4 linked regions of the Schizosaccharomyces pombe genome follow. Changing the gene in region 4 together with the main gene of any one other region gives a genetic interaction. Each region holds a gene or a part of one and is shown on either strand. Other genes may lie near its edges.

Region 1 (5,039 bases), on a different chromosome or scaffold from region 4:
GTGACCACATAAATATCACTTATATTAGCAAACATCATGTATATCATGGACGAAAGTTTAAAAGGTTGGCAACCAAAGCCAAGTTCATGAGAGGAAAAGAAGATTATAACTATAATCCTCGACACAGGAAAATAAGATGTACTGTCATCGCAAAGCAATAGGCAACACGTCAGTAATAATTAGGAAAATTAAAAGAAAAAAACACAAGAGAAAAAAATGTACGAGACCGGTGAAACAAGTTTCAAACAAATCTCGATAAAAGCACAACGAGATTATTAATAGCATAATAAAAACTAGCCAGAATAAAATTAATGCAATATGCAGATCATAACACCCAACGCTCATAAAAAAGGTAACAAATGCCCATTCTAAGCATACAAATCGAAAAGTAAACGAGGCACATTTTCGATAAATAGTCATTGACGAACATTTCCATATTATAAATGAATTGCTCGCTCAATTAACTAACAAGGAATAAGATGAAGTTAAGGAAATCTAGTCAATAAAAATCAAGATTTCAAATCCAAGAAATCCATTAAAAACGTTGGCATTTCTTTTAACTATAAGCCGTTAGAAAAGGAATTCAGTAGCTTTTGTATGAAATCCTCTAAAAACCAAAAGCGAAGGAAACAAAATTAACCCATATAGAGAGCTAAATTCTATAATCCAAAAAAACAGAAAGACAGAGGTACATAGGGTGATAGTAAGAAAGTCATAATACTAGCAAAAATACTAGACTATGATAAATTCTCTTGGCCAATGTTCAAATAAATAGTGCTACAACGAACACGTGTAGATAAACGCGGAGACGAAAGAAGGTGAAACAAAAAAGTGGAATAGTTAGAACAGAACACGAGGCTTAAAAAGGTGATATGTCCTTAGACATAAATAAGCATCCAATGAAACTATGCACTTCCTTGACGCAGCATACGGAACAAGCGCTGTTCACGATCGCGATGAAACAATAAGTCTAGGGCAGAAGTAGAATGACAATGAATGCCGTTATTAGGGGAATTCAAAGTAGGGGTAATGTTACCAGTGGGATGGCCGGCAGCATTGAAGTGATTAAAAGAAGGAGTGGAAGCTGAATAGTTAGTATGAGGAGAATTGTGTCCACTGTAAAATCCATTCGTCTGTTGAATACTCTGCAATGAGGGATCGTTACGAGACATCGGACAAAAATTATGACCCATGGCAACTTCGGATGGGGTTGAAGGAACAGAGGAAGATTGATGAAACTGGAAAGGCATGTTTGAGTTCACACTACCAGTAGGAGGTTGCCATTCAGCCTTTTCGGAAACGGGAGAGTGTAAGAACGTAGGGATGGGAAGATTAGAAGCGGCCGGAGAATGAGTAAATGTAGGACCGGCGTAAAGAATGGAATTAGTATCGGAAGAGGAATTCGAAGAAAAAGATCGATCAGCACCGGAAGAATTGGAAACGTAAGAAGATACAGACTTCAAATGAGAATCAACTTCTCCGACGGCAACCTTATCAATTCCTAAGCCAGCAGGAGCCGAAGCAACACCAGAAGGAAGGTGGGAATTAGAATTGCCACCTGAGATACGAGAGCCAGCATACGAACTGTGACCAGATTTAGAGCGTCGATTCCCGCGTACTTTATCGCCATTTCGCTTACCATTGCTTTCACCAATGTTAGAAGTAGCAAAAGTACTCTTGGGTTTCACAAAGTTAGGTATCTGGAGATTACCATCTCGTTGGGGCATAATCGACATTCCATCTAAACTGAACTCGACATCGCTGGAAGCAACCATTGCTCCGCCCGGTTTAGAATTAATTTTCTTCTTATTACGTTGAAATCTACGTCCAATGTCTTTTTGCATTTTTTACTATAGTCAAAATTCGAGTAATCCCTAATGATCATGGATTCTGTATTCTTAGTGATTGATGTTGGTTAAGGATAACTTCGGGGGCAACACTCTTACCCAATATACGTTATTTGGGCTGAGGTGACACAAAGCAATGAGCTGCGCTATGCCTCCTTATAGAGCTTTCTTCCCTTAACCATTATTTGCCACCCACTTTAACTGGCAAAAAGAAAGAAGGAAAACAAAGATTCGGCACAAAGATAGAGAAATAAGAAATTGCTTTACCTTCGTTTAGTGAAGTCTTTTATTAAATTTGAAAAGGTGTGTTTGAACAGTGGAATTCAAGCAATTTCCTAAGTATATTATAGCTCATTGCTGTAATATTATAAATTTGTATGGGATTGCAATTACGTTCACGAATCAGCAACTTATGCCAGGTTTCCTTTTTAATGTAGATAAGGATTCATGTAATTAACTAGCTTATATCAGCTTTATACCATTTTTGATCAGTTTGAATTATTCACCATGGACAATTGGGAGGACCCTAACTTCGAATTGCGAAATCTTCGTGTCATAGACTTGAAAAAGATCCTTCATGAATCGGGAGTGTCATTCCCTGTGAATGCCAGAAAAATAGAGTATATTAGGATGGTGGATAGAATACGGAAAAACAAATTAAGCTCTGGTCCACAACATTTATTGTCTCATCTTCAAAAAGAGGAAAACTCTAACACCTCAAAAGCGTCTAGCTCCGAGGATGAAATAGCTCCTAAATACCTTTATCCCTCCTCTCCTTCCAAAAGCACGAAAAAGCCACACAACGAAACAGAACCGCTTCTGTCTCCACAATTCATTGACAAACCTAGCAACATTGAAACCCCGGTTAAAATAGAGTCTCCGCACGTCTCTCAAAATAATACCTTTCAGTCCTATTCTGAATTGAGCCCTAATGTGGAAACATCGCTGACTATGAAAACTCCGCCAGCCCACGCGTCTACACCAAAATTTCGCTCGCATAAATCTCATAGGGTAGCTGTTCCTATGTCATTTATGGATAGCTCTGCTTTACATACTTCGCCAGCATTTTCGGAGAGGTTAAAGCTGCTTTCATCTTCAAACAATTTTTCTCCACAATTGAGGTCTCCCAAAATATCACATCGTCTACAAACTTCAGCCACTTCTAGTCCTCTTCAACATAAACGACCCTTTACTAATGTTCCTGAGCGAGTCTCTCGAGATATCGAGTTTGCTCCTCTTGACAGTGCAAGGCCCTCTGAATCTTCATCGCCTTATTCTGAAGTAGACTCTGCTGAGGAAGATGACGAGCTTTTTCAAAATTACGTTTTGCAGCAGACTCGAAAAGAAAGCAAACTTTGGTCGTTTATTAAAAAAGTATTTCACGACATTAAGTACGCCAATTATCGTCTTCTTCACAATTTGCGCGCCTTTCCTGGAATCAGCGCGATATCTTCTTCTTATTTAGTGCATATTTTTATGATTTTATTAGGAGTGGTGGCAGCAATTTTTCTGGCTTTATTACGGGAGAAAATGTTTACAGCAGGATTCTGTGATTCGGGTGCCAGTGGAAGTTCTGCTTCAATTCTTGGAATAAGTTTTCCATCATTGTGTAGAACTTGCCCTCCGAATGCAATATGTCCCTCTCCAAATTACGTTGAATGCAAGCCCGGATATGTCCTCTACGAACCATGGTATTCAAGTTTAGGATTTTGGCCCTCCAAGTATTGCGTTAGTGATACTTCTAGAGAAGAAAGTGTTAATATTTTTCGTGAAGAATGTTTAAGTGTATTAAGATCCTGGAATGCAATTTTGCATTGTAGCAATAACTCGTCAGATTTGCTGGAACGAAATATGTCGTACAATGCGCACCCTTATGTCGCCGATAATCTTAATATATCATCTGATCATATCTCCTTCCCATCAAAACCATTTGCGTTAGGATTATTACATGATACGCTTCTTGAAAGAAAATCTCCAACCCTTGGCCTTGAAATGTTTGAGGACTTATTTAAAGCTTCTTTGGCAGTACTTTCTGAAACGAATGAAGTTGTCATGGATTCAAAATTAATTTGCTACGATAGCTGGGCAGGTATTCCTTTGCGGTGTCGTTTAAAACAGCAACTGATAAAATTTGTTTGGAGGAACAAAGTTTTTTTATTTGGAATCCTTGCGTTGTCAGGAGTTATTTTTAAGCTCATCAATTTTTTTCGTACTCGCAGTATCGTAGCAAAGTATCTACCATCGGCTTCTCGATTCTGTGTAGAATCTTTGAAGAGACAGAAAGCAAATTATCAAATGTCTCGATCTCAAGAACCCGTTATACCACTAATCGAAATGCATGATATACTCTTTCATGGAAATGGCCCATTGGAACAAATTCATATGACGAAAGCAACTGCTCGAACTCTTTGGGAAGCAATAGTCGAACGTGTTGAACAAGTTGGCAGTGTAAGAACTCGTGAATCAGAAGTAGACGGCGAATGGACCCGTGTATGGGAGTGGGTCGGCACAAATACTTTGGATTTCCAAACCGATCGTTCATTTATTAATACAACTTCCCCTTTACGTGAATAATGATTCTCGACTGTATTTCTAGCTTTGTATTTATGACATTTTTCATAGCTAATACAAAAGTAAGTTAATAATATATTTATCTGAATGCTTATACATATTAAAAATGAAACATAAAATTGGTATAATGAGGACTTGTTTGCAAGGTTGATGAAATTTAACTGTATTTCTTATATTAATGTGATTCTTAGTTATACCAAATAAATTATTTTAAAATAAAAACCAAAACCAGTACCATTTTTGATTGAATATGGGCATGTCTAGAGTAAGAAATTAGCGGAGAAAAAATAGGACATGTCACATAGAAAGGGTATTTAAAAAAAAATAAAGGAATTCAAAAGGGAGATTCACCCAACATTACGGTTGAAGATTCGTAGTCTGTGTCTTCTTCTTCCTCGTCATCATCCAAACCTGGAATTTGTTGCCATTCGTTATAAAATGGTTGAACAATTATAGAAGACTTCGTAAGCCGGTAAGGATCAAAGGGAAAATAGGCATCCATAGTGTCGAACCCTTCTCTAAAAATTCCTTTTCTGTTTTGCTCAATAATGGAATAGACGTACATAAAATTGAGATGATTTGCAACCTTTGCAAATTGAAGTACAATATTGGGGGAACAGT
Region 2 (4,931 bases), 3.4 Mb from region 4:
ATCTATGTTTCTGAATGCAATTTTTTTGGTCTATTTGCAACTTCTCATCGACGAAAACGGTGTTTACAAAAAGACAAAGGTACCAAGTAAATTGCATATAACCGACATCAGTATATTCATGTAACTTTGGCTGATAATCTTATGTTTTTATTGTTTGTATGGTAGAGTGTTTTGTTACTTGATAATTCTGGTGTTCTGCCTGTTGCTTTTTTCAATCGTTTGTACGGGCAGGCGCGACTTTCGACTTACCAACACATCGTTCAACGCGTCTTGTTTCAATTGAAACAATTATATGCTATACGGAGGATTATTTGATTGCAATTGGATATTATAAAAGGAATTTATCGAAAGGAGAATTCGAATAGGCTAATAACTCGTCATTTTTATATACCTGCATACAGACGAACTCAACAAATATTAATTCATGGCAGGCGGCCACAAGAAAAATGAAGCTACAAGGCAGACTGATGAAGTTATTCAACAAAAATACGATGAATCATTAAGCAAGGTATGTCAATTACGCAAACACAATTAGGTAACATCTCGACGATACAAATAGAATCGTCGATGAATAATTTTGGTTTAGCATAAAAATCGTTGCGAATTGTCATTAACTTTTGAATACAAGTTATCAAACAAACTTAGGGCTCGTTTGAAGGCAGCGTTTTTTAAGGTCGATCATGGATGGGAAGATCAGACATTAGATCAAGTGGAAACGCTTGTTCGTAAGGAAAATCACGTTCATCGTAGATCACGCTCGATCAATGACTTGGACTCTTCTAAGCTAAGAAGGCCGCATCACCCCAACTCAATTATGGGATCGAATACAGGCAAGCTGCGTGCAAGTTCATTTACGCGATTGGTGAGCCCAAGAGAGGGCTTCGCTCAGCTTCCTTATAAGAAGCCTGTATCTCCTTACTCATCTTCTAGTGCTGTTTCTTCTACGTCCTCGTCTTTTGATAGAACTAGTCCTCCTTGGTTGAACTACGTTGAGCCTCATACTGAGCTACCCAGACTGCCATTTGAACTTAGCCATGCCTCCACTGCTTCAGCTAAATCTCCACTGTTCGGAATGAATTACCATATTTCACGCCCTGAAGAAACCGATGAGTCTCTTCGCCTTGGCACTGCAAACCTCAGTAGAATTCGCAAGTCCACGAGTCTTCCTTTTCCAACGGCTTATCCCCTATCGGCAGATGATTGCAAGGCAGCTGAAGTTATGCTTACGTTGGTGAATTCTATGCCTTCGAAAAAACCATAACATCCTTCATTTTAGATGGTATACGAGCATTAAGATATAAAATTACATAATTATTTCATGAGAGTTAATCTATAATTTGGATGAATAGATTGATTGTTCACATCCTGCTGAAGAATTTTTGGAAAAATCTCGTTTGAGAAGTTTTGTTATTTCTTGCTATCCGTCTCCAGTCCTATGGTTGATGAGCTATTAACCCTCTATATGTTTAAATGCTTGATATGTACAAGCCAAATTGTGATAATGCTTAATGATGTTTATGACAAAGGGTGAATGTTTCCGGGCGTACAACAGTCTTAAAGATCATAGAAACATTATTTACCATGTATTTATTAACGTTCTTCCTACATCTTGATCCTTATGATTTGAAATGATTATTATATAAGATAATGGAAATTCGCGAACTCGCAAAATTATGCATTCATTTCGAAGTATGGCTCGAGACAAAGCTATTTTTAAGTTTCTAAGAAAATAAAATAAATAAATAAATAAAAATAAGACCCTCCCATGAGCCTCATTACAAACTCTATTTTTTCTCAATCTCCATACGTTCAGGATCAATCTTCTATTTAAAGCCTTACTAAACGTCTTAATTACTTACATTTTTATTCTTTACCAAACAAACTCCTTTGTTAGCATGGTTGAGATTATATTCTCTCATTGCTCCTCTATACTTATGTCTTAGAAGTACCAGCAACAGTTTTGACGACCAAAACTACCTATATCGAGTGAGCCGCGCTTCAAAAAGTGTTTCGACAGTTTTATGAGGGAGTTGTTTAATAGGAGATTTTTTTATTAATTTATTAATTGATTGACCTTTTTAAGGGCGATAGAAAACGAATGCTGGCCTCTAATTCTGATGGTGCATCTACTTCTGTAAAACCATCCGATGATGCTGTAAACACGGTAACTCCATGGTCTATTCTTTTGACAAACAATAAACCAATGTCTGGAAGTGAAAATACATTAAATAACGAATCCCATGAAATGTCGCAAATCTTGAAAAAATCTGGATTATGCTATGATCCTCGAATGAGATTCCATGCCACTCTAAGTGAAGTGGATGACCATCCTGAAGATCCAAGACGCGTCCTTCGTGTTTTTGAAGCTATAAAGAAGGCCGGTTATGTATCTAATGTGCCGAGTCCGTCAGATGTATTTTTACGGATTCCGGCTAGAGAAGCTACTTTAGAAGAGTTATTACAAGTTCATTCACAGGAAATGTATGATAGGGTTACTAATACCGAAAAAATGTCTCATGAGGATTTGGCCAATCTCGAAAAAATCAGTGATTCTCTATACTATAATAACGAAAGTGCGTTTTGTGCTCGATTGGCTTGTGGTAGCGCAATTGAAACATGTACGGCTGTCGTAACTGGTCAAGTAAAAAATGCCTTCGCAGTTGTTCGCCCTCCTGGCCATCATGCAGAACCCCATAAACCTGGTGGCTTTTGTTTATTCAACAATGTTTCTGTAACCGCAAGGAGTATGCTACAACGCTTTCCGGATAAAATAAAAAGAGTATTGATTGTCGACTGGGATATACACCATGGAAATGGTACGCAAATGGCTTTTTATGACGATCCAAATGTTCTATACGTTTCTTTGCATCGATATGAAAATGGTCGTTTCTATCCTGGCACCAATTATGGGTGTGCAGAAAATTGTGGAGAGGGCCCGGGATTGGGTAGAACTGTAAATATTCCTTGGAGTTGTGCTGGCATGGGAGATGGTGATTATATATACGCTTTTCAGCGCGTCGTAATGCCTGTTGCTTATGAATTTGATCCAGATTTAGTTATTGTAAGTTGCGGCTTTGATGCTGCTGCAGGAGATCACATTGGTCAATTCTTGTTAACTCCAGCTGCCTATGCTCATATGACACAAATGTTAATGGGATTAGCAGATGGGAAAGTTTTTATCTCCCTTGAGGGAGGTTATAATTTGGATTCTATAAGCACATCAGCCTTAGCTGTAGCCCAAAGTTTGTTGGGAATTCCTCCTGGACGATTGCATACAACATATGCATGTCCACAGGCCGTTGCTACCATCAACCATGTAACCAAAATACAATCCCAATACTGGAGATGTATGAGGCCGAAACACTTCGACGCAAATCCTAAGGATGCCCATGTAGATCGATTACATGATGTTATTCGAACTTATCAAGCTAAAAAACTTTTCGAAGACTGGAAAATTACCAATATGCCAATACTAAGGGATTCCGTTTCCAATGTATTCAACAATCAAGTACTGTGCTCTAGCAATTTCTTTCAAAAAGATAACCTTCTCGTTATTGTCCATGAATCTCCTAGAGTCCTGGGTAATGGAACTAGTGAAACGAACGTTTTGAATTTAAATGATTCGCTTTTAGTAGATCCCGTGAGCCTTTATGTTGAATGGGCTATGCAACAGGACTGGGGGCTTATCGACATAAATATACCTGAAGTGGTTACGGACGGTGAAAATGCACCGGTTGACATTCTTTCTGAAGTGAAAGAACTTTGTCTTTATGTATGGGATAATTATGTTGAGTTGTCGATTTCAAAAAATATTTTTTTCATCGGTGGAGGCAAAGCGGTACATGGATTGGTTAATTTGGCATCTTCCAGGAATGTGTCAGACAGAGTTAAGTGTATGGTGAATTTCCTTGGCACTGAACCTTTGGTGGGTCTTAAAACGGCATCAGAGGAAGATCTTCCAACGTGGTATTATCGTCATTCACTCGTGTTTGTGAGTTCTAGTAATGAGTGCTGGAAAAAGGCAAAGCGTGCTAAAAGAAGATATGGACGACTTATGCAAAGTGAACATACTGAAACTTCGGACATGATGGAGCAACACTATCGAGCGGTTACTCAATACTTGCTGCATTTGCTTCAAAAGGCCCGACCAACTTCTCAGTAACATTCGTTATTGACTTATGATTTTTTCATGGTTTTCTATTCTTTTAATTGTCACACATTTAACCTCCTTAAGTTATCTACGTTAAAATTTATAACGGACATTCATGATTTGCCAAACCCGCTGAATGATTCGTACTCAATCTGCTAAGCTGCTTTGTCTCTTTTACTTATACTTTAATTCGAGCTCATTATTCTCAAGGTTGGTGGATTTTGACTTTATTTTCCAGTAGAATGTATACACAAATGGTTTATTGTTATTGCTGGCTTCATTTTATTCATGTTCAATATAATTAAATAAATAAGGTTATAATATTGTTTTATAAAATAAAGCTCCTCAAATCCGTGATATTATTTTAGTTCAAACAACTATTGTTGATTTTTGTCGTAATTTTGCTTAAAAGCATTTCTCTAAAGCTGAGGGAAATCCCTCATCCATTTTTTGTACCGCAAAAGGATAATATTATAGTATGTTGTTTAAATTGTAAAATTAGATTCATAGTACAAACAGCATTTAAATTGTTTTCTTATTCTCCAATATTAATAACTATATCACACAAAAAAATTGATTTGGTTGTATGGTGTAATGGTTAGCACGTGAGATTCTGATTCTCGAGACCTGGGTTCGATTCCCAGTACGACCTTCATGAATGATGGATGATTCTGTGATGTTCAACTTTTTTAACTAATCCAAATTGCATGAATGATAACCGGTCAACAGTAATTGTAAATGTAGCAACTTTACTATTAAGGAAGGCTGGCTTTTTTTTTTT
Region 3 (6,691 bases), on a different chromosome or scaffold from region 4:
CAAGCGGAGAGCAGAAAGAAGAAAAAAAGAGAACAAATTAAAGTGCGAGAAGAAAGAGCAAAACGCCATGAAGAACGACTGTCGCATAGGAATATGAGCCAAATGGAACGCCAATTATCAGAGCTGACACAATTAGAATCTTCGCAAGCTTTAAATGCACATGACAAGCAATTATTACAAAATTTGCAAAGAGATATGGCAATTATGAAGAAGAAAAACATTCATGGACATAGAGTTGGGCGTGTTGAGTCAGACAAGACTAAGGAGGCAGAACGTCAACATAAACCTAGAAAGCCTTTTATCCCTAAAAACCCAAAACGAAGTATATATTATGATCCAATATTTAATCCTTACGGAGTTCCGCCGCCAGGAATGCCTTATCGTGAGAAGGAAGAACTAAGTTCAGAAACAGATGAATCCGTTATTGATATACCTTTACCTTCTGAAGAATATCCTTTTGAGGATCCAAAGCCAAGGGAAAAGAAAAATAAGAGCTTTAAGCCAAAGCACCACAAAAAGCAAGACATAAATGCAAGTTCAGCACAACCAAAATCCACTACTACGACAGAAGCTGCTGCAAATACGAAGGACATTGAAGAGGAAACTATGATTGAGTACTCAGCTCAGCCGGTAGTCAGAGATTTACGACAAGAAGCTGCTCAATTTTTACCTGCTGCGTTTCAACGACAAAAACTAGCCAAGGGGCAGAAAATTGGACAGCCAGACAGGGATGTATCGAGCCAAGTTCAGGAAGACAAGGATGAAGAAATAGATAATTTCTACAAAGAAATTGGCGGATATCTATAAAAAAGTCGTTAAAATTATGGAGATTGGAAGTAAGGATTACCAAATGGGTGTAGACGGAATTTTTAGTTAATAAACATGCATATTAATTTATATATAATATCTGTTTACTAGGTTCAATTTTAAAGGAGCTTGATTGCATCTCTGTACTTGTTTTTTTGTTTTATTCAATTATGAGTGAGCTTTCATAAGTTAATTCAAAGGCTTATTATTATGATGCGGTCAATAATTTCAAATTTTTGATGTCCAAAAAAAACAAAGGAGATTTTGTTTCTGTGTTATTGCATGATATTTATTAATGTTTTCTTGGTTCAATAATTCCTTATTATAGTCACTTTTACACTGCTTGAGCGAAAGGGGATTTCAAAAAAACACCTTATATTCATCTTTCCGTGATTATTTCAAGTTGACTGTTTTTTGTGAATTTGTCTTTTGCTAAATTATGATTGTTACACTTAGTCCTACACTGTTCATTACGAATCAGATTACCAAAAAGAAAGAAGTACATGACTAATTACTTGGATTAATTTTATTTTATTTTCATATGTATTTAGACGCCATGACAGTATTTACATGCGTAAACCAACGAATTCGTTTATCAAATAAAAATATCATAAAGGAAACCTTTAAAAATCGAAATACACATGCTTAAGTTAAAATTTGCACAATGAGAGATGAGGGAGTACTTATCTATCTTTTGCTTGCTTTTCTTGGGTTCATAATCTTTGGTTTTCGCTATAAATGCTGTATGAGACTAGGAAGCTTTTGCAGTCAATCATTCTATTATTTATAAAAACAAATAAGTTATTTATTGATTAAAAACTCGTGATACTTTTTTTTGCTATAAAATGATTTATTTACATATAATTACAAGGCACTCGCACGACCTCGTTATGTGCGAGGAGCCATGAAATTGAATCCATTGATATTAAAATTAGCCAAAATGCCATTTCTTAAGAATGGGTAAAGTCCTGTTAGAGCTGCATTCAGTACCATGGAATGAAGAAGGTTTGAGTGATAATGCTCGACTTTATTCATTTTTGGAGTTCGTAAGCCCGAAAATCGAGGAATTGAAGTACAGAAAGCTTTTGTTAGAGAAACTACAGACTCACATTAGGGAGGTCGTTTTGGATGCTGAACTTCAAGTATACGGTAGCATGTATATTGGAACAACATTATCTATAAGTGATGTAGACGTATCTTTGAAGTCACCTCGAGTTGGAGAATTGGAGAAACGACGCGTCACCATGGTTTTAAGAAAGTACTTGGATGCTGATGCTGATTTCCATTCTAGTGCCAGAGTCCCTCGCATCAATTTAGTAGATGTTAGTGGAATTGGGGTGGATTTGACGTTTGGAAATGACAAAGCTTGCAGAACTGCTGAATTGCAAAAAGCTTATAACGAAGAACACCCAATTTTTGGTAGATTGCTGATGCTATTGAAGCACTGGTTGTTTGAAAGAGATTTGGAAAACGTTCATCATGGCGGGATTGCAAGTTGCGCGCTCTCTTATATGCTAATTGGTTGGCTTGAAATGCGATTTCACAAAAAGGGAATTGATTCGGAAGTGCAACCAATTCGAGCTTTACTACAGAAATTCTTCTATTTTTGGGGAGTCGAATGGACATACGAACTTTTTGTATTGAGACCTTTAACCGGTCAAATAGTTCCTAAGCTACAAAAGGGCTGGTTAAACGAAGTGCAACCAAATTTGCTATCTATTGAAGATCCAATTGACAGAAATAACGACATTGGAAAGCAATCATTTCAAATTAGTATGATTAAAGCTGCATTTGTTGCTTCAGCTAATGAATTATTATCCGATAAGACATGGTTTAGCACCTTTGCAATTACGGAAGATGAAATGTTTTTGTGTAAACAGTTTGAAAATGTTATAAATACTAAACGAAGTTTGGTGGAGGGATATGATAGTGATACGGAATCAGATGAATTACAAGCTGGCGGATAACTGCGGGTTAATGCATTTAAAAAATAATGCTCGCTGTTTAAATAAACATTTGTTTTTCAATTCCTAAGTTGTCTTGCCGCATGTGGTAATGTTTCACTACAGTTCGTATGTACTTTACTCTTGTTTAATTGAATGGATTCATATTCTTATTATTGATAGGATATAAGAATCCTACAATTATCTTAGTCATTTTCAAGTCTTTTAATTTTACTTAGGCAAGGTTCGGCTGTTTCAAATGATATCACATTTTGTACCTATTGAAGGTGCTAACAAAATCTGTTCTTTAAAAATTTCAAAATTAAATCTATTTTATTCTTTTAAAATCTATCCAAGGATCCATGTTAGATTTTCAAGTCAATTTAATAATTGCATTTCACTTAGATTAATAAATGTGTGTGCAATCTATAGCTTTTTCGAAAGAAGGACGCTATCTTCTGTTTTGGAGCTCTCATCAATAATGAATCCCCGATGAATAAACCATTCGGATACATCGAGTTTAGGGCTTAATTTAATGTAAATTTCTTTGGCTTTTCCCTCAGCTGCAGTCTCGCAAGCATATTCCAACAGCTTGGTACCAATAGAACGGTTTCGATAGGCTGGCAAAACTGCCAAAGATAAAATTTGGATTTTGTGCGATTTATTATGTGTTTCTTTTTTGCATCTAACAGCTCCTACGCAGACCTGGTTAAAGTACGCATATTGTGCTAAAGGCCCGACTGAGATTGTGTCTTTGTAAAAGGAGGTTGGAAATATAATGATTTCAGGATCAAAACACTTTTCGTTAATAACTTCAAGGATTTTCAGATTATTAGGGTTAATCGCATCAAGTTCAATCATCTTTTTTATGCAAATGCAAATATCTTTTTCTATATGTACTTGGTGTTGTCAACTTTCAGTCTTTAAGGCATTCTAATGCAATAGTTTGAGTTGGAAACATCCACGATAAAATCTTTAAACAGTACGCTGCATTTCATTAATCCCGTTGTCACATGAATGTGAAGGTATTGTAGATGCTGGTCGCATAGGAGAAGCGTTAACAAGGCTGAAGACATCGTCATTTCCATCTTCCTTTGTGTCTACGTTTCCTTCTTTCTTTGTGGTAGAGGGCTCTTCAAAATTTGATTCTTGTGGGATAATCTCTTCGGTGGATAGCTTTTCACTTGCAGAAACCGCAGGATTCTCAAAGTCAATATGAAGTTGTCTTTGATATTCATCTATTAATCTTCTAAGCCAAGGGACTGTGTAGCTAATGGCTGGCCATGCTGTACCTAGCATAGTAATGAAGTTCCAAAGGCTCCACAGGGCCATAAATGAAAATACCAGCCCTTGTATAATGATAAGAATGATTGCAATGATCACTTTCGGAATGATTGCTAAATCAAATGCTATCGGTATGAGAAGAGCAAAGGAAACCACTCGGGTGAGAGCAACCAAAAAGACGCAAAAGGAATTTTTGAAACCAACAAAAGGCCGAAACACTGCTAGCAATATAAAAGAGATGATTTCAATAACAAATAGAAGTATAGTTTGAATCTTCGCAAACTGTTGTACTAACGCTAAAACCAATGCAAAACTAAAATAATGTGCAAAGCAGGCGTAAACATAGAGCCATCGCCGTTCTTTTAAATCCAAATATAACCATCCCCACCATGTGTATATTTTTGGATCGCTTATCAATGTTTCTGGATTGTCCTCGTTACTCAAGCCTGACGTTGTTATCACTCTTATGACTTTGATAGTTAACCAAAGGAAAAGCCCAAAAAGCAGTGCCAGAAGCAAAGCCGCCAATATTACAGGGCCATATGCTTCCCTAAGTGTAAACTGGTAAATTATCATAGTTACCAATACAGGCCAACAAACCAACACCTATATCAACCAGATTAGTATAAGTATAAAGCAAAAAAGTCGTTAAGAGCTATGTATGAACAACTCATTCCTTTGTTCAATTAACTTACCCATCTCATACAAGCATTAAAAAGTACTCTAAACCAATACCTTGTGATATAATCGCATGAAGATTTTGCGATTATACGTGTCTGACGAAGAAACTTAATAATAAGTACGAATATTATAACGATTCCTCCTGCTATGGCCAAAGAAATCAAAAACCATATTAAAGTGAGTGTAAATAAATTCGTTGTTAGCGTTCCAACTTCGGTGGCTAGGCCTTGAAACCCATGGTAAAATCCAGGAATCGGGCTTTGAGGGTTTGTTGCAACAGCATCTCTTCGATGGACTCCACCTATCTTTGGAGAACTTAGGTTTCCATTGGAATGCTTTCTAAAAGACTCAAGGCTGTTTTCTATCTCTTTATTGGTAATAAATCCTAGAATCCATGCAAAATTACTAGCCCATGCGACTAGCACTTTTGGCTGTGTAATTCCAATTGCTCCCGTGAAAGCTATACATTGAAGTAGCTCTCCCATGTGCTGCAAAGAAGGAACGGAATTGATGAAAACCTGACGTGTCAGATAGGTGCTATGCTCCATTCCAATTACATAAAAGCCTAAGACGCCTGCTATACTCAATGCCAAAGCAGTTCCACTTAGAGCTTTTACGACTTTATTTTTAAACGTATGACCATTATTAAGTGTCGCGATCATGCACGCAAGTGGTGTAGAATTATCGATGGATGACGCTGCGATGTCTTCTGAGCGATACATGCGAAAACGCACTAAGCCTTCAAAATCAGGAATTCCCCAGGCAATTTTTGGGATCATCTGAACATCTTGAGGGCTCACTGGAAGTATTCCCTGTGTGGTTATAGCTGTATCTCTTGCAACTGGGCACACAGTATTAAGATTTATTTCACAAGGGTCGAAAGTAAATCTTGCCCTCTGCTCTCCATAAGCTTCAACTATAATATCAAACGTAACATTTGCGTCCACAGATGAATATCCAAGAATATTAAAGACTACTGACAAGTTTCGTGTATAATAACTTGCATCAAACCGATTAAACACTATCGGGGCATTTGACATGCATTCTGCGTACTCGGCTGTTCCAAGTTTGTGATTTGGTCTCTTACTATATCTTACTCGACCTTCCACTGACGATAAGATATTACTTAAAACTGCAAAGTAAGCTAAGAGTATTAGCTTCATTTTCATTTTCCATTAACATCCCCCTTCCAGTTATGTAGAGGGTTTAACTTTGGAACGAATGCAAAAAAAATTAAAATGAACTTTCCTCAGAATTACCAAACTATCACGAATAACAAAAACATGCTACTGAACTCAAATGCCGTAATTTGACTGTAATGTTTACGAAATAGCAGTCGTATTTTTTAACAACCATAGCATTGAGTTAAATACAAGGATTAAATAAATAGTAATGAAACGATTGAAGCTTTAAGATTTTTACGAAAAAGAATACAGAACGTGGCTTCGTTTATTTAGTTACCACCATCTTAGCATTGTTCTTACGCTCACAATTTTACACTATGAAAAAAGCAATATAATGGTAAAGAATGTATCATTAGTAAAGAATAAAAAAAAGAAATGCATTTTCATTTCATTTGTAGTTGTGAGAAGAAATGATGGAATGTGCGAGCCTCACTTGATTTTATGTCATTATGTTTTGGACCTCAATTAGTAATAAAATTATTCTGTTGAAGTCATTTCTGAAGGCGTTTCTTGATTTTTCGCTTGTAATTCGTTGAGTTGCTCCATTAAAAGATTTCGAAAAGGAGTCAGCAGCTTCTCTTTAGTTCTATTTAATTTCATTCCACAATTTGGAAGTTGTGGCTGCGGTACTCCATGAGCTGTAGTGGGTGTAATAATTGCGGACCCAAAGAAGTTATAAAGATGTAAAAGCCATTCACTAGTACTATCTTTATTCTCAATAGCCTTCTTGCTTTCTTCATCAAGTTCCTTCACATAATCACCAATTTCTTCCAAAACTTGATGTTTTGTCTC
Region 4 (4,630 bases):
CAAAATGAAGCAGTTACTGCAGTTGCAAACGCCATTCGCTTATCTCGTGCTGGTCTTTCTGATCCTAATCAACCAATCGCATCTTTCTTGTTTTGCGGTCCTTCCGGTACTGGTAAGACTTTATTGACAAAGGCATTGGCATCATTTATGTTTGATGATGAAAATGCAATGATTCGTATTGACATGTCTGAATACATGGAAAAACACTCTGTTTCACGTCTCATTGGAGCACCACCCGGTTATGTTGGACATGAAGCTGGTGGACAGCTTACTGAACAACTTCGTCGACGACCTTACTCCGTCATCTTGTTTGACGAGATTGAAAAGGCTGCTCCAGAAGTATTGACTGTACTTTTGCAGGTACTAGATGATGGACGTATCACTAGTGGCCAAGGCCAGGTTGTTGATGCCAAGAATGCTGTTATCATTATGACTTCTAACTTGGGCGCTGAATACTTGACAACAGACAATGAGTCTGATGATGGAAAGATAGATAGTACCACTCGGGAAATGGTTATGAACTCGATTCGTGGCTTCTTCCGTCCCGAATTTTTGAATCGTATCTCTTCAATCGTTATCTTTAATCGTCTGCGTCGTGTGGATATCCGCAATATTGTCGAAAATCGTATATTAGAGGTTCAGAAACGGCTTCAATCCAATCATCGCTCAATTAAAATCGAGGTTAGCGACGAAGCTAAAGACCTTCTTGGAAGCGCTGGTTATTCCCCTGCTTATGGTGCAAGACCTTTGAACCGTGTCATTCAAAATCAAGTTTTGAATCCCATGGCTGTCTTAATTTTGAATGGCCAGCTTCGCGATAAGGAGACTGCTCATGTCGTAGTCCAAAATGGCAAGATATTTGTCAAACCAAATCATGAAGCTAATGCAAACGGCTCTGCTGATATTGACATGGATGGTATTGACGACGATGTTAATGATGAAGAATTGGAATAAATGTATTTCAAATGAGAAAGTTCTAACGATACTTTATGATATAGTTTAATGATATGCTTAATCTTAATATATTTTATTTATTTATAAAAATATAGTATATAAACTTTTTAGGAAGTACTGTTTTCTCATTAAAATGTTCAATGAACTTTATCGAATAGATAGAATCAATTTAACAAAAGCTAAGTACATCGTTTTTAGTTATTAGCAATTCAAGTATGATGAAACATTGAATCTTAAATTTATCAAATAATCCATTGTTATTTACGAAAAACCTCCATTTATTTTAGTAGGTATTAATTAATGCAGTCCATTCAAGAAAGTCGAGCTTGTAAGAAAGTGCTCGTAATTCCTTATAAAATCAAAGCAGAATTAGCTCTCATACTTTTAGTAGATTTTAAATTGAATTTACATGATTAACTTTAACATTTGGTAAATCACTATCATATCATTTCATTACTTTCTACACTTGCGCATTGCATACTAATACGCATTCCAGTTCTCATGGTTCAAAGCAACGTTTAAATTAACAAGTTGTATAGTTAAACTTATACAGTGCTTTGCTTCTAATAGCCATTATTACCAGGAAATAACGAGATCACAGTTGCCCGCATACCATTAAGCTAACGAAACTTTACTGCACTAAACAAGAGACTAGCTTTTCGTAATTGTAATAAGACTTATCGAAAAGTTGAACCAGAGATCTTCAGTTCAGTAGATCATTGCCTTTCTCAAACGAAGCTTTAATTTATACTTCCTTAAAAATAATTGATTAGTCATATTTTCATGTTATACAAACTCTGTCATGGCTTCCAATCCGCTAGATAATAATATGCCGACGACTCCCGTTGAGGAAAAAATTCCAGTCGCTAGTTATTCTCCTAGCTCTTCTGGTAGTAGTTCCGGTGCTAGTTTACTAGTAGATATTATGTGCGGCAGTAAAGAAACTGAGGATGAAGAGGTTGATTCTGATGAATGGGATAAACCAGGTATGAATATCAACTATTAACTCCAATACCTTCAAGGGTACGCGCAAGTCTATTTGAATTTACAAAATTTACAATTGATCAACGATTTTGAGTTCAGGTTAGCTATGTGCTTTTCATATACTTTAGTTTATTTTAATTATTTAAAAAGTTAACGATTCCTTAGAAACAGAAAACATAAGTGATTTGGATGAACGATCCGAAATGGTCAGATATTTAAGGGCTTCAGGTAAGGAGTTACTTAATTTACATTTTAACTAGTATTTGTAGGCTATGCGAAATTCTTGGAGAAATATTTAATAGAAGAAGAGTTGCCTGTACGATCGATTTTAAAAAAACTTGGAATCAATTTGGTATGCTTACTGATTTATAACTTGCATTACATTAAATTAGCAGATTATTTTTGTTAAATTGCAATAATAATTTGGTCTACTGCATGTTTTGTTTTCTTATGACTTTACCTAGATTTATTAACGTAAATAGCCTAGTGCACTTGAAGAGTTTGAAGACATAGAGTATGCTTTTCTTTAACTTCCTTCTTATCTTTTTATCTTTTATTTTTTAAAATATCTGCTATCGATATACTAACGTGCTAATTAGTTTACTTCCTTTGCTGAAGGAAGTTTTAAAACGTGAGGTTGCTAGGAGAATCAAACTTCCACATTTTAATACCTTTGAAGATGTTGTTAATTTATTGAAAAAAGCTAAAAATGTTGTCGTCCTTGTTGGGGCAGGCATAAGTACAAGTTTGGGAATTTTAGATTTCCGTTCAGACAATGGTTTTTATGCCCGTTTGGCACGCCATGGATTATCGGAACCTTCTGAAATGTTTGATATCCATACGTTTAGAGAAAATCCAGAAATTTTTTATACTTTTGCTAGAGATCTTTTGCCGGAGACGAATCATTATTCCCCCTCGCATGCCTTCATTAGATTGCTTGAAAAGAAGAATAAATTATCAACATTGTTTACCCAAAATATAGACAATTTGGAAAAAAAGACTGGACTCTCCGATAACAAAATTATTCAATGTCATGGTAAGTATTTATTTTCCGATTTGCATCTCGAGCACTGGTGATTTTGTCTAATTTGATTATATAGGGTCTTTTGCTACCGCAACTTGTATCAAATGCAAGCACAAGGTGGATGGATCGGAGTTATATGAAGACATAAGAAATCAAAGAGTTTCTTACTGCAATGAATGCGGAAAACCACCCTTAAAATTAAGAAGAGTCGGTCAAAATAAAAAAGAGAAACATTATTTTTCAGATGGTGATAGTGAATCTTCTGAAGATGATCTAGCTCAACCTGGGATTATGAAACCTGATATCACATTTTTTGGGGAAGCCTTACCGGATTCTTTCTTTAACAAAGTCGGGAGTGGTGAGCTTGAAGAGACTGATTTATTAATTTGTATTGGAACTTCTTTAAAAGTGGCTCCTGTTTCAGAACTCATCAGTGTTATTCCTCCTACTACTCCTCAGATTTACATTTCGAGGACTCCTGTTCGTCATACCCAATTCGATGTAAATTTTCTAAGTCCTTATTGTGATTGGGTTATTGTGGAGATTTGTAAACGTGCTGGATGGCTGAATGAATTACAAGCGCTTTGCGATTTACCTGAGTGTCATAGTGGTTCCAAAACGCGAGCTTTCGAAACGGATTTGGATATAAAATTTGAGGAGCCCAGCACCTATCATATCACGAGCACAACAAACGGTAGTTGTTAATTTTAGGACTGATCGATCTATCGAAGTTGAATGTAGAAGCAAATATATTATATACATATATCGAGTATGAGAGCCAGATTATTGGACATTAACTTATTATCCGTTTGAGACTTCTTAGTTTTGTAAGTGCCATTGTTAAAAACTGTTTTTTCTCTTCGCACCTAATGTTTAAATCTGCTAAACTGGGTGAAAACACATTAAAACAAGTTATAATACATTTTACAATACCAAGGACTGTGTAATTAGTAAATGAACATTGAAGCAAATTACATTCATAGGCTATGCAAAATTAGCTACTTTTTTAAGCATAGTAAATCAGTGAAAATGACACAATTATTATTTAAAATTGAAAGATTGATTGGTACATATCAATACAACCAATGAAGCATCTAATTGTACGATACTAAAGAGAAACAACTGAAAACGGACAATTAGAAATTGGTCAACGATATTGACACTCAAACTCAAAAGAAGAAAACAGATTTAATGAAGAATATAAAATGCACGGATCATCGAAAAAGCCACCAAATCAAGCCCATTTACCTAACAAAGCCATAACTCCAGTACCAGCCATCGAGCATGCCAAAAGGTAAATAAGCTTATACCAGTTACGTTCTCTTTCAGGACTAAATAAGAAATCGTGTGCAAGTAATTCCACTAAACCAGCATAAACCAAAATTCCAGATGAGATAGCATCCAAAACACCTTGGGCAGCATAAGACCCATGAGCAAGAGGATCCCAATGCTCACGAACACCTAAACCAGCTGCCATACCAATAGGCGTAACCAACGAATAGATAACGCCCAACACCCAAGGTACCCATGCAGTTTTTGGGCCCCAGGCCATTCCCGCCAAACGAGAACCTAAACCACAACCTTCAAAGGCCTGATGGAAAATAATGACGGGAAATAAAGTTTTAAATTCTTCACCTGAGACGGCAGTTGTAAGACCGATAATAACAC

The links.
Region 1: of sir2 (region 4) and lem2, changing one enhances a phenotype caused by changing the other (phenotypic enhancement), as found in Schizosaccharomyces pombe (one study listed by BioGRID).
Region 2: of sir2 (region 4) and clr3, changing one enhances a phenotype caused by changing the other (phenotypic enhancement), as found in Schizosaccharomyces pombe (3 studies listed by BioGRID, with this or other methods).
Region 3: mutations in sir2 (region 4) and cid12 together harm fitness more than expected from each alone (negative genetic interaction), as found in Schizosaccharomyces pombe (3 studies listed by BioGRID, with this or other methods).

Annotation. Positions count from the first base shown.
Region 1 is NC_003424.3:2,232,244-2,237,282, forward strand, and holds lem2 (LEM domain nuclear inner membrane protein Heh1/Lem2), read left to right. Parts: upstream 1-2,034; 5' UTR 2,035-2,354; coding exon 2,355-4,421; 3' UTR 4,422-4,530; downstream 4,531-5,039. Other genes in the region: protein Edc1, read right to left, coding at 906-1,844; RNA polymerase I general transcription inititation factor subunit Rrn3, read right to left, coding at 4,753-5,039. UniProt on the Schizosaccharomyces pombe protein: Nucleus inner membrane protein involved in meiosis. Plays a role in regulating nuclear envelope (NE) morphology and nuclear integrity, particularly during spindle pole body (SPB) extrusion or insertion through the NE, and perhaps during karyokinesis.
Region 2 is NC_003423.3:252,724-257,654, forward strand, and holds clr3 (class 2 histone deacetylase Clr3), read left to right. Parts: upstream 1-1,962; 5' UTR 1,963-2,098; coding exon 2,099-4,162; 3' UTR 4,163-4,415; downstream 4,416-4,931. Other genes in the region: cell cycle transcriptional repressor Whi5, read left to right, coding at 425-508, 587-1,261. UniProt on the Schizosaccharomyces pombe protein: Responsible for the deacetylation of lysine residues on the N-terminal part of the core histones (H2A, H2B, H3 and H4).
Region 3 is NC_003421.2:1,653,906-1,660,596, forward strand, and holds cid12 (poly(A) polymerase Cid12), read left to right. Parts: upstream 1-1,740; 5' UTR 1,741-1,763; coding exon 1,764-2,774; 3' UTR 2,775-3,176; coding exon of another isoform or gene 3,177-3,611; 3' UTR 3,612-3,725; coding exon of another isoform or gene 3,726-4,640; 3' UTR 4,641-4,729; coding exon of another isoform or gene 4,730-5,878; 3' UTR 5,879-6,175; downstream 6,176-6,691. Other genes in the region: splicing-associated factor Saf1, read left to right, coding at 1-807; NatA N-acetyltransferase subunit Naa50, read right to left, coding at 3,177-3,611; trp663 (TRP-like ion channel protein), read right to left, coding at 3,726-4,640, 4,730-5,878; SPOM_SPCC663.15C (uncharacterized protein), read right to left, coding at 6,377-6,691. UniProt on the Schizosaccharomyces pombe protein: Has a role in the RNA interference (RNAi) pathway which is important for heterochromatin formation and accurate chromosome segregation.
Region 4 is NC_003423.3:3,608,683-3,613,312, reverse strand, and holds sir2 (histone deacetylase, Sirtuin family, NAD-dependent Sir2), read left to right. Parts: upstream 1-1,626; 5' UTR 1,627-1,756; coding exon 1,757-1,940; exon of another isoform or gene 1,941-2,103; coding exon 2,104-2,166; exon of another isoform or gene 2,167-2,203; intron 2,204-2,207; coding exon 2,208-2,290; intron 2,291-2,420; coding exon 2,421-2,452; exon of another isoform or gene 2,453-2,537; coding exon 2,538-2,974; exon of another isoform or gene 2,975-3,038; coding exon 3,039-3,667; 3' UTR 3,668-4,096; downstream 4,097-4,630. Other genes in the region: heat shock protein Hsp104, read left to right, coding at 1-954; plasma membrane ZIP zinc transmembrane transporter Zrt1, read right to left, coding at 4,197-4,630. UniProt on the Schizosaccharomyces pombe protein: Involved in silencing within the mating-type region, at the telomeres, and according to PubMed:12867036 also within centromeric DNA regions.